3 linked regions of the Saccharomyces cerevisiae S288C genome follow. The protein of the gene in region 1 interacts with the protein of each later gene in a pairwise test. Each region holds a gene or a part of one and is shown in the gene's direction. Other genes may lie near its edges.

Region 1 (5,223 bases):
AATTTGTAATAGTCCAAAAAAATTCCATCAAATATCAGCTCCAAATTGGCAACTGTTTAACTTGCGTTGCCCGATTACTTGATATCCCTTATTGTGAACATCATGACAAAACGAAATGAGAAAAGACCTTTCCTTTCCATTAATCATTAGTAATTAAAAATTTCTTAACTTCTTTTCGATCAATTACAATATATGTATACTTGCGTGCACATTGCAATTTTACTTAACCATGCATAGCAGAGGCTCTTCTACTTTACTATAATATGTTTACAACAAAGTTATAAAAAGTTTTCTCAAACCTTTTCCATGGTGAATGGATAACTAAGGGTTCCAATCAATGTTATGAAGAATTCCAAGTTAATCGACGAAAAGCGTTTGGAAAGGAATTATATAAACGTAAACATGAAAAATATTCATCGAATACTCCACATCGATCGTATTACAGTGTTTTAGTAAATGTTTGTATTTGAATCAAAGTTTCAGCATTTGTTCTACACTGATAAAATCATGGTTCTAGTATAGTGAAACATACGCCCAAGTTATCCTAGTACAAGACCGCCATATTGTGCTCATAATCGGGAACAATGAAAATAACACCCTAACAATTGCTGAAACTTGTCGTACGCGATCCCTAATTACATTATCAAGCATTCAGCATTGGTCAATACCTCAATACCTCGACAAGAAAAAAGAAATAGACACGTGTATGTCAAGGCATTAAGAAGGGTATCAGGCCTAGTGCTCGCCTCTTGCCTTCCCAATTTGTTGAACATCTTTGACATATAATTTGATTTTGAAATAGTTATTGGACTTCCATTTTAAATAAAGGCTCTATCATTAACTATACAGAATATACTAGTAACGTGAATACTAGTCGATAGACGATAAATTAATACTTTTTCCAATAAAATCTAAACGCATGCAAGTACATAAATAGGCGAAGGTATCTGACCGTAATAATCTTCACGCCATCTATATAAATAAATGAAAAATTCGGCTTTTAACTTATATATTAACAATAAGAAAGACAATGTTGCGCTGTGCTTACAGGAAGAATATTATAATTTTGACGAAAAGACCTTAATGAAATGCTTGAGGCTAATTAAAATATCAAAATTAGAACACGTAGCACTTTTCTTAAGTTCTGTTCCCAAAATTTCAAGGTCAAATGTGTTAACCTTTGGATGCACTTTCATAAAACTCCAAATATCCATCGCACTTAATAGGACGTCCCCTCCAAAAGCATCCACTGTATAATACTGTCTTGGATGGAAACCCTGCCTAATCACCATGCTCGCTGCCGCTGTTTCTATTGCATTAGTGTTTTCAGTAATGAAATTATTTGGCTCCTTTATTTCAGTCCCACTAAACTCCAAAAAGGTACTATCAAGTTCCCCATTAAAGTCACCAAACGTATGAATCTCACTCATTGCATCATTTAGAAAAGAATAGCCTGGTATGTCATTTGAGAGATTCGTACAGCCTATGGGATAGAAGGACCGATCAAAGGAATTCAACGGTGACGGCACTGTACAATTCTTTCCAACACACACTGAGAGCAGTTGCTTGAAAAATACGTAGCATTGTTGTATTTCAAGGGAATTATATGTGGAGGAAAGAACCACACTACCATCGAGAGTGTTACATGTGGGCGGTTTTTCTTCACAACAGGCCTTACTAATGTTCCGTTCATCAGAAGGCATGTTCCTCTCAGTCAAAAGACTCCTCAACATAAAATGGAGAAGTTCATTTTCCTTCTTTAATATGTGAATTTGATCATTTGTTACCGTTAGCTGAGCTTCTTTCTTCTCTAGTTCTTCTAATCTTTCCAACTTTCGTTTTCTAAATGCGTTTTGGGATGCTCTAAGTTGCGCAGCTCTCTTATTTTTAGGTGGAGTAAGTGAAGGCTTCCTGCCGCCTTTTCTTCCACGCGGTTTTGCCATTATCTTGGTCACTTATCTTCCGTTTTGACATGTTTTTTCAACGGCCGCTCCTTAAAGACCATCCGCATGCTAGAATTATATACTAATATGATTTTGTAAAGATAGGAATATTATAATTATAATTATATTTAATTTAATAAGAAAAGAAACGAAAAAAAAAAAAAAAATGGAATTAAAAAGTTTTGCCGTACATAAAATATTGAAAAGACTTTTACATTAATGCTGGAACAATAAAGCTTGAGGAGCTCAACCACTAACAATCAATTTAAGGTTACTCTCTCTACAATGGGTCTCCCAAGCGTAAAAACCTCCAACGAGGATGCAACTCTCAAACTTACTTGTAATATCTTCTTCTTGTAAGTAGGTTTCGAATTTAGCAGCTACTTTTGGTCCCCTATTCTTGGACCCAGTACAATGAAATATCACTTTGACGAATTGAGAACTTGAGAAAGTATCGGATAAACCTTTAATTAATTGATTCAGTTGCTTCTCTGTAATCTGTGCTGTTACTGGAACATGCCAAGCGTTTGTAATATGATCACGTGCAAAATCTTCTCTTCGAAGATCAACAACTTGAAAATCCTTCCTCTGATTTTCAATTAGGCCCTTGAGTTGCCTAGACGTTATGAAACTTACCATTACGCTTGCTGGATTGTCAAGTTTTCCTCAATATTAGTTTGTTATACATTAGTTTTTATACCGACTTTTCAAAAGTGTTGATTTAAAATCAAATTTTGAATGCTCTTAATTATCTTTTTGTTTGATTAATAATCAACTTTAGCGGCAACGCTCCTTACATAATTATAATGTAAACGGAAAAGAATATAAATGAATGCTCTCGTTGTAATTCAAGAGAACCCAACCAACAAATCATCAGGTTAGTAGAATAATGTCAGAAGATCAAAAAAGTGAAAATTCGGTACCTTCTAAGGTTAATATGGTGAATCGCACCGATATACTGACTACGATCAAGTCATTGTCATGGCTTGACTTGATGTTGCCATTTACTATAATTCTCTCCATAATCATTGCAGTAATAATTTCTGTCTATGTGCCTTCTTCCCGTCACACTTTTGACGCTGAAGGTCATCCCAATCTAATGGGAGTGTCCATTCCTTTGACTGTTGGTATGATTGTAATGATGATTCCCCCGATCTGCAAAGTTTCCTGGGAGTCTATTCACAAGTACTTCTACAGGAGCTATATAAGGAAGCAACTAGCCCTCTCGTTATTTTTGAATTGGGTCATCGGTCCTTTGTTGATGACAGCATTGGCGTGGATGGCGCTATTCGATTATAAGGAATACCGTCAAGGCATTATTATGATCGGAGTAGCTAGATGCATTGCCATGGTGCTAATTTGGAATCAGATTGCTGGAGGAGACAATGATCTCTGCGTCGTGCTTGTTATTACAAACTCGCTTTTACAGATGGTATTATATGCACCATTGCAGATATTTTACTGTTATGTTATTTCTCATGACCACCTGAATACTTCAAATAGGGTATTATTCGAAGAGGTTGCAAAGTCTGTCGGAGTTTTTCTCGGCATACCACTGGGAATTGGCATTATCATACGTTTGGGAAGTCTTACCATAGCTGGTAAAAGTAATTATGAAAAATACATTTTGAGATTTATTTCTCCATGGGCAATGATCGGATTTCATTACACTTTATTTGTTATTTTTATTAGTAGAGGTTATCAATTTATCCACGAAATTGGTTCTGCAATATTGTGCTTTGTCCCATTGGTGCTTTACTTCTTTATTGCATGGTTTTTGACCTTCGCATTAATGAGGTACTTATCAATATCTAGGAGTGATACACAAAGAGAATGTAGCTGTGACCAAGAACTACTTTTAAAGAGGGTCTGGGGAAGAAAGTCTTGTGAAGCTAGCTTTTCTATTACGATGACGCAATGTTTCACTATGGCTTCAAATAATTTTGAACTATCCCTGGCAATTGCTATTTCCTTATATGGTAACAATAGCAAGCAAGCAATAGCTGCAACATTTGGGCCGTTGCTAGAAGTTCCAATTTTATTGATTTTGGCAATAGTCGCGAGGATCCTTAAACCATATTATATATGGAACAATAGAAATTAATTGTTGACTCACCAAAAAATTACTTGGGCACCAATGAATAATACCACTTATAACTCTATATTAATCCAAGTTCACCCTAAAAACAGATAAAATTGACAATTTTTTTTGAAGGACAACTGATTGATCTTAGTGATGGTTAGGATGAAAAAATGGGTTTGTTCACGCCATCCCGCATCATTCAAAAACTCCGCACAGTTTTGGAGTTCAGTAAGAAGGGGACGTAATCTTACTATTGCATTTTTGAAAGTCTAATGAACTCAAGTGGCAAACTGTGTTACGTACATCACTTCTAAATACAATGTCTTTGAATTAGAAACTCGCTGAAAAATTATTATTGCGTATTGTATGTCATTTTTGAGATTTTCCTGCAAGATTAGTAATGCTTTAAACCCAAGTATTGTAAGCCCGATGGAATAGCACATGGTGATGGTACAACAATGGCTTCATAGATCATTCGCATAAAAATGGAATTCGTGCATCTAGTGTCTAATTAAAATTAACGTAACGAAATAGGACAAGATAAGCTTATGTCGTAGTACCCGCATAAGTACGTGTAGCTGCCATTTTATAATGCATGAAGTTGAAGTCATTAGGATGAAGAGGTGACATATAATGTTTCAAAATGGTGCCAGTATAAGTTTGGGATATCATGGAGCGGCATTCGTTTTAGTAAATGACTGTATTGTATAGTACTGTCTGTATGATTATCAGTTGAGTTGGTGAGATGAAGTAAAGATATTATAGCATCTGCGTTAATGTGTATTGCTATTATAGTATAGCATAGTGGTGTTATATAGTGGCACCGGGAATGAGTATAGGGAGTAAGAAGATCTTGTAGTTGCGTTTGAATAGCGACATGAGGACACGTCTTATGTCGCCATTATTAGGCTGAAATTGCAAGCATAAACTATTCGATATCAAAGATACCACAAGACCATGTATGCATAATTATAGAATACCAAGGTGGGGAGAGATTAAAAACGCACCATAGCAGCTGCGCGAGTATATTCTGCTATTAAATTGGAATTCACTGAAAGGTGATGAGAATGCAAATAGCTATGATACCTTATAGTGGTTAATTTGTATGAAAACGTTATAAAGCATGAAGTTGAGAGTATTGATATGATAATGGAGGTTCTGTGATCAATTTTAGAAAATTAAAATGTGGATGATCAT
Region 2 (2,805 bases), on another chromosome or scaffold:
TCGACTCTAACGGTATTTTGAATGTTTCCGCCGTCGAAAAGGGTACTGGTAAGTCTAACAAGATCACTATTACCAACGACAAGGGTAGATTGTCCAAGGAAGATATCGAAAAGATGGTTGCTGAAGCCGAAAAATTCAAGGAAGAAGATGAAAAGGAATCTCAAAGAATTGCTTCCAAGAACCAATTGGAATCCATTGCTTACTCTTTGAAGAACACCATTTCTGAAGCTGGTGACAAATTGGAACAAGCTGACAAGGACACCGTCACCAAGAAGGCTGAAGAGACTATTTCTTGGTTAGACAGCAACACCACTGCCAGCAAGGAAGAATTCGATGACAAGTTGAAGGAGTTGCAAGACATTGCCAACCCAATCATGTCTAAGTTGTACCAAGCTGGTGGTGCTCCAGGTGGCGCTGCAGGTGGTGCTCCAGGCGGTTTCCCAGGTGGTGCTCCTCCAGCTCCAGAGGCTGAAGGTCCAACCGTTGAAGAAGTTGATTAAGCCAATTGGTGCGGCAATTGATAATAACGAAAATGTCTTTTAATGATCTGGGTATAATGAGGAATTTTCCGAACGTTTTTACTTTATATATATATATACATGTAACATATATTCTATACGCTATAGAGAAAGGAAATTTTTCAATTAAAAAAAAAATAGAGAAAGAGTTTCACTTCTTGATTATCGCTAACACTAATGGTTGAAGTACTGCTACTTTAATTTTATAGATAGGCAAAAAAAAATTATTCGGGGCGAGCTGGGAATTGAACCCAGGGCCTCTCGCATGCTTTGTCTTCCTGTTTAATCAGGAAGTCGCCCAAAGCGAGAATCATACCACTAGACCACACGCCCGTACTAATTGATGTCTTCCTTTTCGGATAGATGTATATATATACAAATTGGTCAGATTGCTTTTGGCTCCCTTTCGTACGTAACTCATTTAGACTACGGATCACTAGCACTATCTCACCAAGTTTTTAAAAGATCCACTGTGATCATTAAAGATTCTATTTCAAATAAAAATCAATTATCATCTATCGACTAGTTTTCATGGTACTAGTATATTATCATGTACAGTGTGAGGGCTCGACATGAAGATTGAGAAGACAGTCATCGTTTTCAATGGAAGCTGAAATACAAGCACTGAATAAAAAGAGATAACAATATTTTAATGTCGTGATATTGGTTCCCTTCTGCTGGTCTTCGAGGAAAATTTCTGGTATGTTTTGTGTATCTAATATTATATAGCCTTAAATCACTACCTATTTTTCAGATCCGCCAAGGAAGCCACTCTGTGAACTTTAAATAATATTACAAATTGCTACAGCATCTCGAATTCAAGTGTTTTCAGACTTATTTATTTAATTCAAGAAAATGTTCATAAACTTTCATAAAGCAATCCTCAATCCTCTTAGCGCTAATGTTCACTGCACCTTACATGATGGCGTTTGGTTATATTTCAATCCTTTTCAGCGACGTGTCCCGAAACACGAAAAAGTACATTCTGCCAAAACTTGAACTAGTTAAAATGAAAAACTAACAAAATCTCCAGTGATTTCGATTCATTAACCTTAGGGATCGACACCGCCAATTCTGCATCAGGTGACCCAAACTAGAATAAGATAAACAGTGGAGTACACTCATTGTAAAGGAAAACCATGATCAAATCTACAATTGCTCTACCCTCTTTCTTCATTGTTTTAATTTTGGCGTTGGTCAATTCAGTGGCTGCATCTTCCAGTTATGCACCAGTTGCTATCAGTTTACCAGCATTCAGCAAAGAATGCCTGTACTACGATATGGTTACTGAGGATGATTCCCTGGCTGTGGGTTACCAAGTTCTAACCGGTGGTAATTTTGAGATTGATTTTGATATTACTGCTCCTGATGGATCTGTGATTACTAGTGAGAAACAAAAGAAGTACTCAGACTTTTTATTAAAATCGTTTGGAGTGGGGAAGTATACCTTTTGTTTTTCCAATAACTATGGTACAGCGTTGAAAAAGGTAGAAATTACACTAGAAAAGGAAAAAACTTTGACTGACGAGCATGAAGCTGATGTCAATAACGATGACATTATTGCCAATAACGCCGTGGAGGAAATAGATAGAAACTTGAACAAAATCACGAAGACTTTGAACTATTTGAGAGCCAGAGAATGGAGAAACATGTCTACCGTCAATTCCACCGAATCAAGGTTGACTTGGTTATCTATATTGATTATCATTATCATTGCCGTTATAAGTATTGCCCAAGTTCTACTTATTCAATTCCTCTTCACTGGTCGTCAAAAAAATTACGTTTAAGAACTTTTCAATCTACGAAAAATATATGTCCGCAATATAGAACACAATTAGGTTTATATTCGACGTGATTTTTTTTTCTTCCTTAGCCCTATGTATATTTACTGTATAGGATAAATGAAATACCAAAAATAAAAAAGTATAAAACGAAAGAATATAACCCTCGTTTATATCTGGTCATTTGTCTTGCTCATTTGTTAGCATTTAAACTTGCTAATACGAAACTCAATGTAAAGAATACTTTAAAACCCATGTATTCTGTACCCAATAACCCATCAATAAGCAGTTTCTTCAAGTCTACATCTTTCAAAACAATTACAGATTTGATATTTTTCAAATTAATGCGAATCCATCCCTTGTACCGTAACCATTCACAAAGAAGCATGCTTGTAATACCGACATACATAAACAAAATTGATATCTTAGCCACCGTAACTCCTAAAACAACACCGAATAATGATCCCAAAAACATCTGCTTGTGACTACTTATTTTGTTCCTCCTT
Region 3 (5,718 bases), on another chromosome or scaffold:
CGATCCACCCAGAAATGAGACTGCCGGTGCAGTCAAGAAGTTTCACCAAGCTGGTATTAACGTTCATATGTTAACTGGGGACTTTGTGGGTACAGCAAAGGCTATCGCTCAGGAGGTTGGCATCTTACCCACCAATTTGTACCATTACTCCCAAGAGATTGTTGACAGTATGGTCATGACCGGATCTCAGTTTGACGGACTAAGTGAGGAGGAAGTGGACGATTTGCCCGTCTTACCTTTAGTTATTGCACGTTGCTCTCCGCAGACTAAGGTGAGAATGATCGAAGCTTTACACCGTAGGAAGAAGTTCTGCACAATGACAGGTGACGGTGTTAACGATTCTCCATCTCTAAAAATGGCCAATGTTGGTATTGCAATGGGTATTAATGGTTCAGATGTTTCCAAAGAAGCGTCTGATATTGTTCTAAGCGATGACAATTTTGCTTCTATTTTGAATGCTGTCGAAGAAGGTCGTAGGATGACGGATAACATTCAGAAGTTTGTCCTACAATTATTGGCAGAAAATGTTGCTCAGGCTTTGTATTTGATCATTGGTTTAGTATTCAGAGATGAGAACGGAAAATCAGTATTTCCCTTATCACCAGTGGAAGTATTGTGGATTATTGTCGTCACCTCTTGTTTTCCTGCTATGGGGCTAGGTCTAGAAAAGGCTGCTCCAGATTTGATGGATAGACCTCCTCATGATTCAGAGGTTGGTATTTTCACGTGGGAGGTTATTATAGATACATTTGCATATGGGATTATAATGACAGGGTCCTGTATGGCTTCATTTACTGGATCACTGTATGGAATAAATAGTGGTAGATTGGGGCACGATTGTGATGGCACCTATAACAGCAGTTGTCGTGATGTTTATAGATCACGTTCTGCGGCTTTCGCAACCATGACGTGGTGCGCTTTGATTCTGGCTTGGGAAGTGGTTGACATGAGAAGATCCTTTTTCAGAATGCATCCAGACACTGACAGCCCAGTCAAGGAATTTTTCAGAAGCATTTGGGGAAACCAGTTTTTGTTCTGGTCAATCATTTTTGGATTTGTGTCAGCCTTCCCCGTCGTCTATATTCCGGTTATTAATGATAAAGTGTTTTTGCATAAACCAATTGGTGCTGAATGGGGTCTCGCCATTGCATTCACAATTGCATTCTGGATAGGTGCTGAACTTTACAAGTGTGGAAAGAGGCGCTATTTCAAAACTCAGAGAGCGCACAACCCGGAGAATGATTTGGAGAGTAACAATAAGCGCGATCCATTCGAAGCGTATAGTACTTCTACTACAATCCATACAGAAGTTAATATTGGTATTAAACAATGATAGGCAGGGCCTATTAAGTGCTCCCTATCTTTTTCCTTATTCATTTCATATATTTAGATATTTACATTTATTTTGTTATTTGTTTTTTTATTTACTATAAACGAACTTTTCACAGGTTCTGAACATAAACAAGCCTAAATAGTATGTTTTCTAGTTCAAATATGTCTTAGAGGAATACTACTGCTATACTCTTATTGCTGCCGTTGTAAATCATGAAACAGATACAGTTACGTTACGCGTATGACAGGGTTCTTAACTAAAATTATGAATTTCAATACAGGATTAGTTAAATTCTTGTAGAATTAGAAAATTAATGCGTTTATTTCGTCAAGACTTTTCCTTCCAGGACGTTCAAATTCAACTCACATATATTCTTTTATCAAAATCCTTATATCACCGCGCGGTGTAATTGTGAGGCTGATGTTTTCTTCTTTAAATCTCCATATTATCTCTCGAGGCAAAGAAAGAGGAAAGAATTTTATTTTCCTTCATCCTTTACATCGAGAATACGTTAACCAAATCAACGTTATTCATATTCGTATTTTGCTTATCAGATAACGTATGTACTCACTGAGGAAAAATCTTTGTACACATAATTGAAAATTTTCGATGAGCGAGGGAACTGTCAAAGAAAACAATAATGAAGAATTCAATGCTTATCACACATTGACTACAGAAGAAGCCGCTGAATTTATAGGCACAAGTCTGACTGAAGGTCTTACTCAAGATGAGTCCCTCCGCAGACTGAAAGCAGTGGGAGAGAACACATTGGGTGATGATACCAAAATTGACTATAAAGCAATGGTCCTCCATCAGGTATGTAATGCAATGATTATGGTCTTGGTAATATCCATGGCGATCTCTTTCGCTGTGCGCGACTGGATTACTGGTGGCGTTATTTCTTTTGTTATCGCGGTCAATGTGCTCATTGGCCTAGTTCAAGAATATAAGGCTACCAAGACAATGAACTCTTTGAAAAACTTGAGCTCTCCCAATGCTCATGTTATTAGGAACGGGAAAAGTGAGACTATAAACTCAAAAGATGTGGTTCCAGGTGATATTTGTCTGGTGAAGGTCGGTGATACTATTCCTGCTGATTTGCGTTTAATTGAAACTAAGAATTTTGATACTGATGAATCACTACTGACCGGTGAATCTTTGCCTGTCTCCAAAGACGCCAACTTAGTGTTTGGAAAAGAAGAAGAAACCTCCGTGGGTGATCGTTTGAATTTAGCATTTTCTTCATCCGCCGTTGTCAAGGGAAGAGCCAAGGGTATTGTCATCAAGACAGCTTTGAATAGTGAAATTGGTAAAATTGCAAAATCTCTACAAGGTGATTCAGGTCTCATTTCCCGCGATCCTAGTAAGTCGTGGTTACAGAATACATGGATATCTACAAAGAAAGTTACTGGTGCATTTTTAGGTACAAATGTCGGTACGCCCCTGCACAGGAAACTGTCTAAGTTGGCGGTATTGCTTTTCTGGATTGCCGTACTTTTTGCTATCATCGTCATGGCCTCTCAAAAGTTTGACGTAGATAAAAGGGTAGCTATCTATGCCATTTGTGTGGCCCTATCCATGATTCCCTCTTCATTAGTCGTTGTCTTGACCATCACCATGTCTGTTGGGGCTGCTGTTATGGTTTCTAGAAACGTTATTGTAAGAAAATTAGATTCTCTGGAAGCTTTAGGTGCCGTTAACGATATCTGTTCTGACAAGACCGGTACTCTTACACAGGGTAAAATGTTAGCGAGGCAAATTTGGATCCCTCGCTTTGGTACCATAACTATCTCGAATTCTGATGACCCCTTTAATCCCAATGAGGGCAACGTGAGTTTGATTCCAAGGTTTTCACCTTACGAATATTCTCATAATGAGGATGGTGACGTTGGTATTCTCCAGAATTTCAAGGATCGCCTATACGAAAAAGATTTACCAGAAGATATTGACATGGATCTATTTCAAAAATGGCTCGAAACCGCCACTTTGGCTAACATTGCTACTGTTTTCAAAGATGACGCAACTGACTGTTGGAAAGCTCATGGTGACCCAACAGAAATTGCGATTCAAGTGTTTGCTACTAAGATGGACTTGCCTCACAATGCCCTTACCGGTGAGAAATCGACTAATCAAAGTAATGAGAATGACCAATCCTCTCTTTCACAACACAATGAGAAGCCTGGCAGTGCACAATTCGAACATATTGCTGAATTCCCATTCGACTCAACTGTGAAGCGAATGTCATCTGTCTACTACAACAATCACAACGAAACATATAATATTTATGGCAAGGGTGCTTTCGAAAGCATCATCAGTTGTTGCAGTTCTTGGTATGGTAAGGATGGTGTAAAAATCACACCATTGACCGATTGTGATGTCGAAACGATAAGGAAAAATGTTTACAGTCTATCAAATGAGGGTTTAAGAGTCTTGGGTTTTGCCTCCAAATCTTTCACTAAAGATCAAGTGAATGACGATCAATTGAAAAACATTACTTCAAACAGGGCCACCGCAGAAAGTGATTTAGTTTTCCTAGGGTTGATTGGTATTTACGATCCACCCAGAAATGAGACTGCCGGTGCAGTCAAGAAGTTTCACCAAGCTGGTATTAACGTTCATATGTTAACTGGGGACTTTGTGGGTACAGCAAAGGCTATCGCTCAGGAGGTTGGCATCTTACCCACCAATTTGTACCATTACTCCCAAGAGATTGTTGACAGTATGGTCATGACCGGATCTCAGTTTGACGGACTAAGTGAGGAGGAAGTGGACGATTTGCCCGTCTTACCTTTAGTTATTGCACGTTGCTCTCCGCAGACTAAGGTGAGAATGATCGAAGCTTTACACCGTAGGAAGAAGTTCTGCGCAATGACAGGTGACGGTGTTAACGATTCTCCATCTCTAAAAATGGCCAATGTTGGTATTGCAATGGGTATTAATGGTTCAGATGTTTCCAAAGAAGCGTCTGATATTGTTCTAAGCGATGACAATTTTGCTTCTATTTTGAATGCTGTCGAAGAAGGTCGTAGGATGACGGATAACATTCAGAAGTTTGTCCTACAATTATTGGCAGAAAATGTTGCTCAGGCTTTGTATTTGATCATTGGTTTAGTATTCAGAGATGAGAACGGAAAATCAGTATTTCCCTTATCACCAGTGGAAGTATTGTGGATTATTGTCGTCACCTCTTGTTTTCCTGCTATGGGGCTAGGTCTAGAAAAGGCTGCTCCAGATTTGATGGATAGACCTCCTCATGATTCAGAGGTTGGTATTTTCACGTGGGAGGTTATTATAGATACATTTGCATATGGGATTATAATGACAGGGTCCTGTATGGCTTCATTTACTGGATCACTGTATGGAATAAATAGTGGTAGATTGGGGCACGATTGTGATGGCACCTATAACAGCAGTTGTCGTGATGTTTATAGATCACGTTCTGCGGCTTTCGCAACCATGACGTGGTGCGCTTTGATTCTGGCTTGGGAAGTGGTTGACATGAGAAGATCCTTTTTCAGAATGCATCCAGACACTGACAGCCCAGTCAAGGAATTTTTCAGAAGTATTTGGGGAAACCAGTTTTTGTTCTGGTCAATCATTTTTGGATTTGTGTCAGCCTTCCCCGTCGTCTATATTCCGGTTATTAATGATAAAGTGTTTTTGCATAAACCAATTGGTGCTGAATGGGGTCTCGCCATTGCATTCACAATTGCATTCTGGATAGGTGCTGAACTTTACAAGTGTGGAAAGAGGCGCTATTTCAAAACTCAGAGAGCGCACAACCCGGAGAATGATTTGGAGAGTAACAATAAGCGCGATCCATTCGAAGCGTATAGTACTTCTACTACAATCCATACAGAAGTTAATATTGGTATTAAACAATGATAGGCAGGGCCTATTAAGTGCTCCCTATCTTTTTCCTTATTCATTTCATATATTTAGATATTTACATTTATTTTGTTATTTGTTTTTTTATTTACTATAAACGAACTTTTCACAGGTTCTGAACATAAACAAGCCTAAATAGTATGTTTTCTAGTTCAAATATGTCTTAGAGGAATACTACTGCTATACTCTTATTGCTGCCGTTGTAAATCATGAAACAGATACAGTTACGTTACGCGTATGACAGGGTTCTTAACTAAAATTATGAATTTCAATACAGGATTAGTTAAATTCTTGTAGAATTAGAAAATTAATGCGTTTATTTCGTCAAGACTTTTCCTTCCAGGACGTTCAAATTCAACTCACATATATTCTTTTATCAAAATCCTTATATCACCGCGCGGTGTAATTGTGAGGCTGATGTTTTCTTCTTTAAATCTCCATATTATCTCTCGAGGCAAAGAAAGAGGAAAGAATTTTATTTTCCTTCATCCTTTACA

What was found. The genes of interacting proteins can lie anywhere in the genome.
Region 2: the proteins of ARR3 (region 1) and ERP2 interact in a protein complementation assay, tested with the Saccharomyces cerevisiae proteins (one large-scale study listed by BioGRID).
Region 3: the proteins of ARR3 (region 1) and ENA2 interact in a protein complementation assay, tested with the Saccharomyces cerevisiae proteins (one large-scale study listed by BioGRID).

What each region holds. Positions count from the first base shown.
Region 1 is NC_001148.4:937,090-942,312, forward strand, and holds ARR3 (Arr3p), read left to right. Parts: upstream 1-2,832; coding exon 2,833-4,047; downstream 4,048-5,223. Other genes in the region: ARR1 (Arr1p), read right to left, coding at 1,059-1,943; ARR2 (Arr2p), read right to left, coding at 2,190-2,582.
Region 2 is NC_001133.9:137,198-140,002, reverse strand, and holds ERP2 (Erp2p), read left to right. Parts: upstream 1-1,657; coding exon 1,658-2,305; downstream 2,306-2,805. Other genes in the region: Hsp70 family ATPase SSA1, read left to right, coding at 1-500; FUN14 (Fun14p), read right to left, coding at 2,493-2,805. UniProt on the Saccharomyces cerevisiae protein: Involved in vesicular protein trafficking.
Region 3 is NC_001136.10:530,807-536,524, reverse strand, and holds ENA2 (Na(+)-exporting P-type ATPase ENA2), read left to right. Parts: upstream 1-1,942; coding exon 1,943-5,218; downstream 5,219-5,718. Other genes in the region: Na(+)/Li(+)-exporting P-type ATPase ENA1, read left to right, coding at 1-1,333. UniProt on the Saccharomyces cerevisiae protein: Catalyzes the hydrolysis of ATP coupled with the export of sodium and potassium from the cell. May export potassium less efficiently. May transport other cations such as lithium.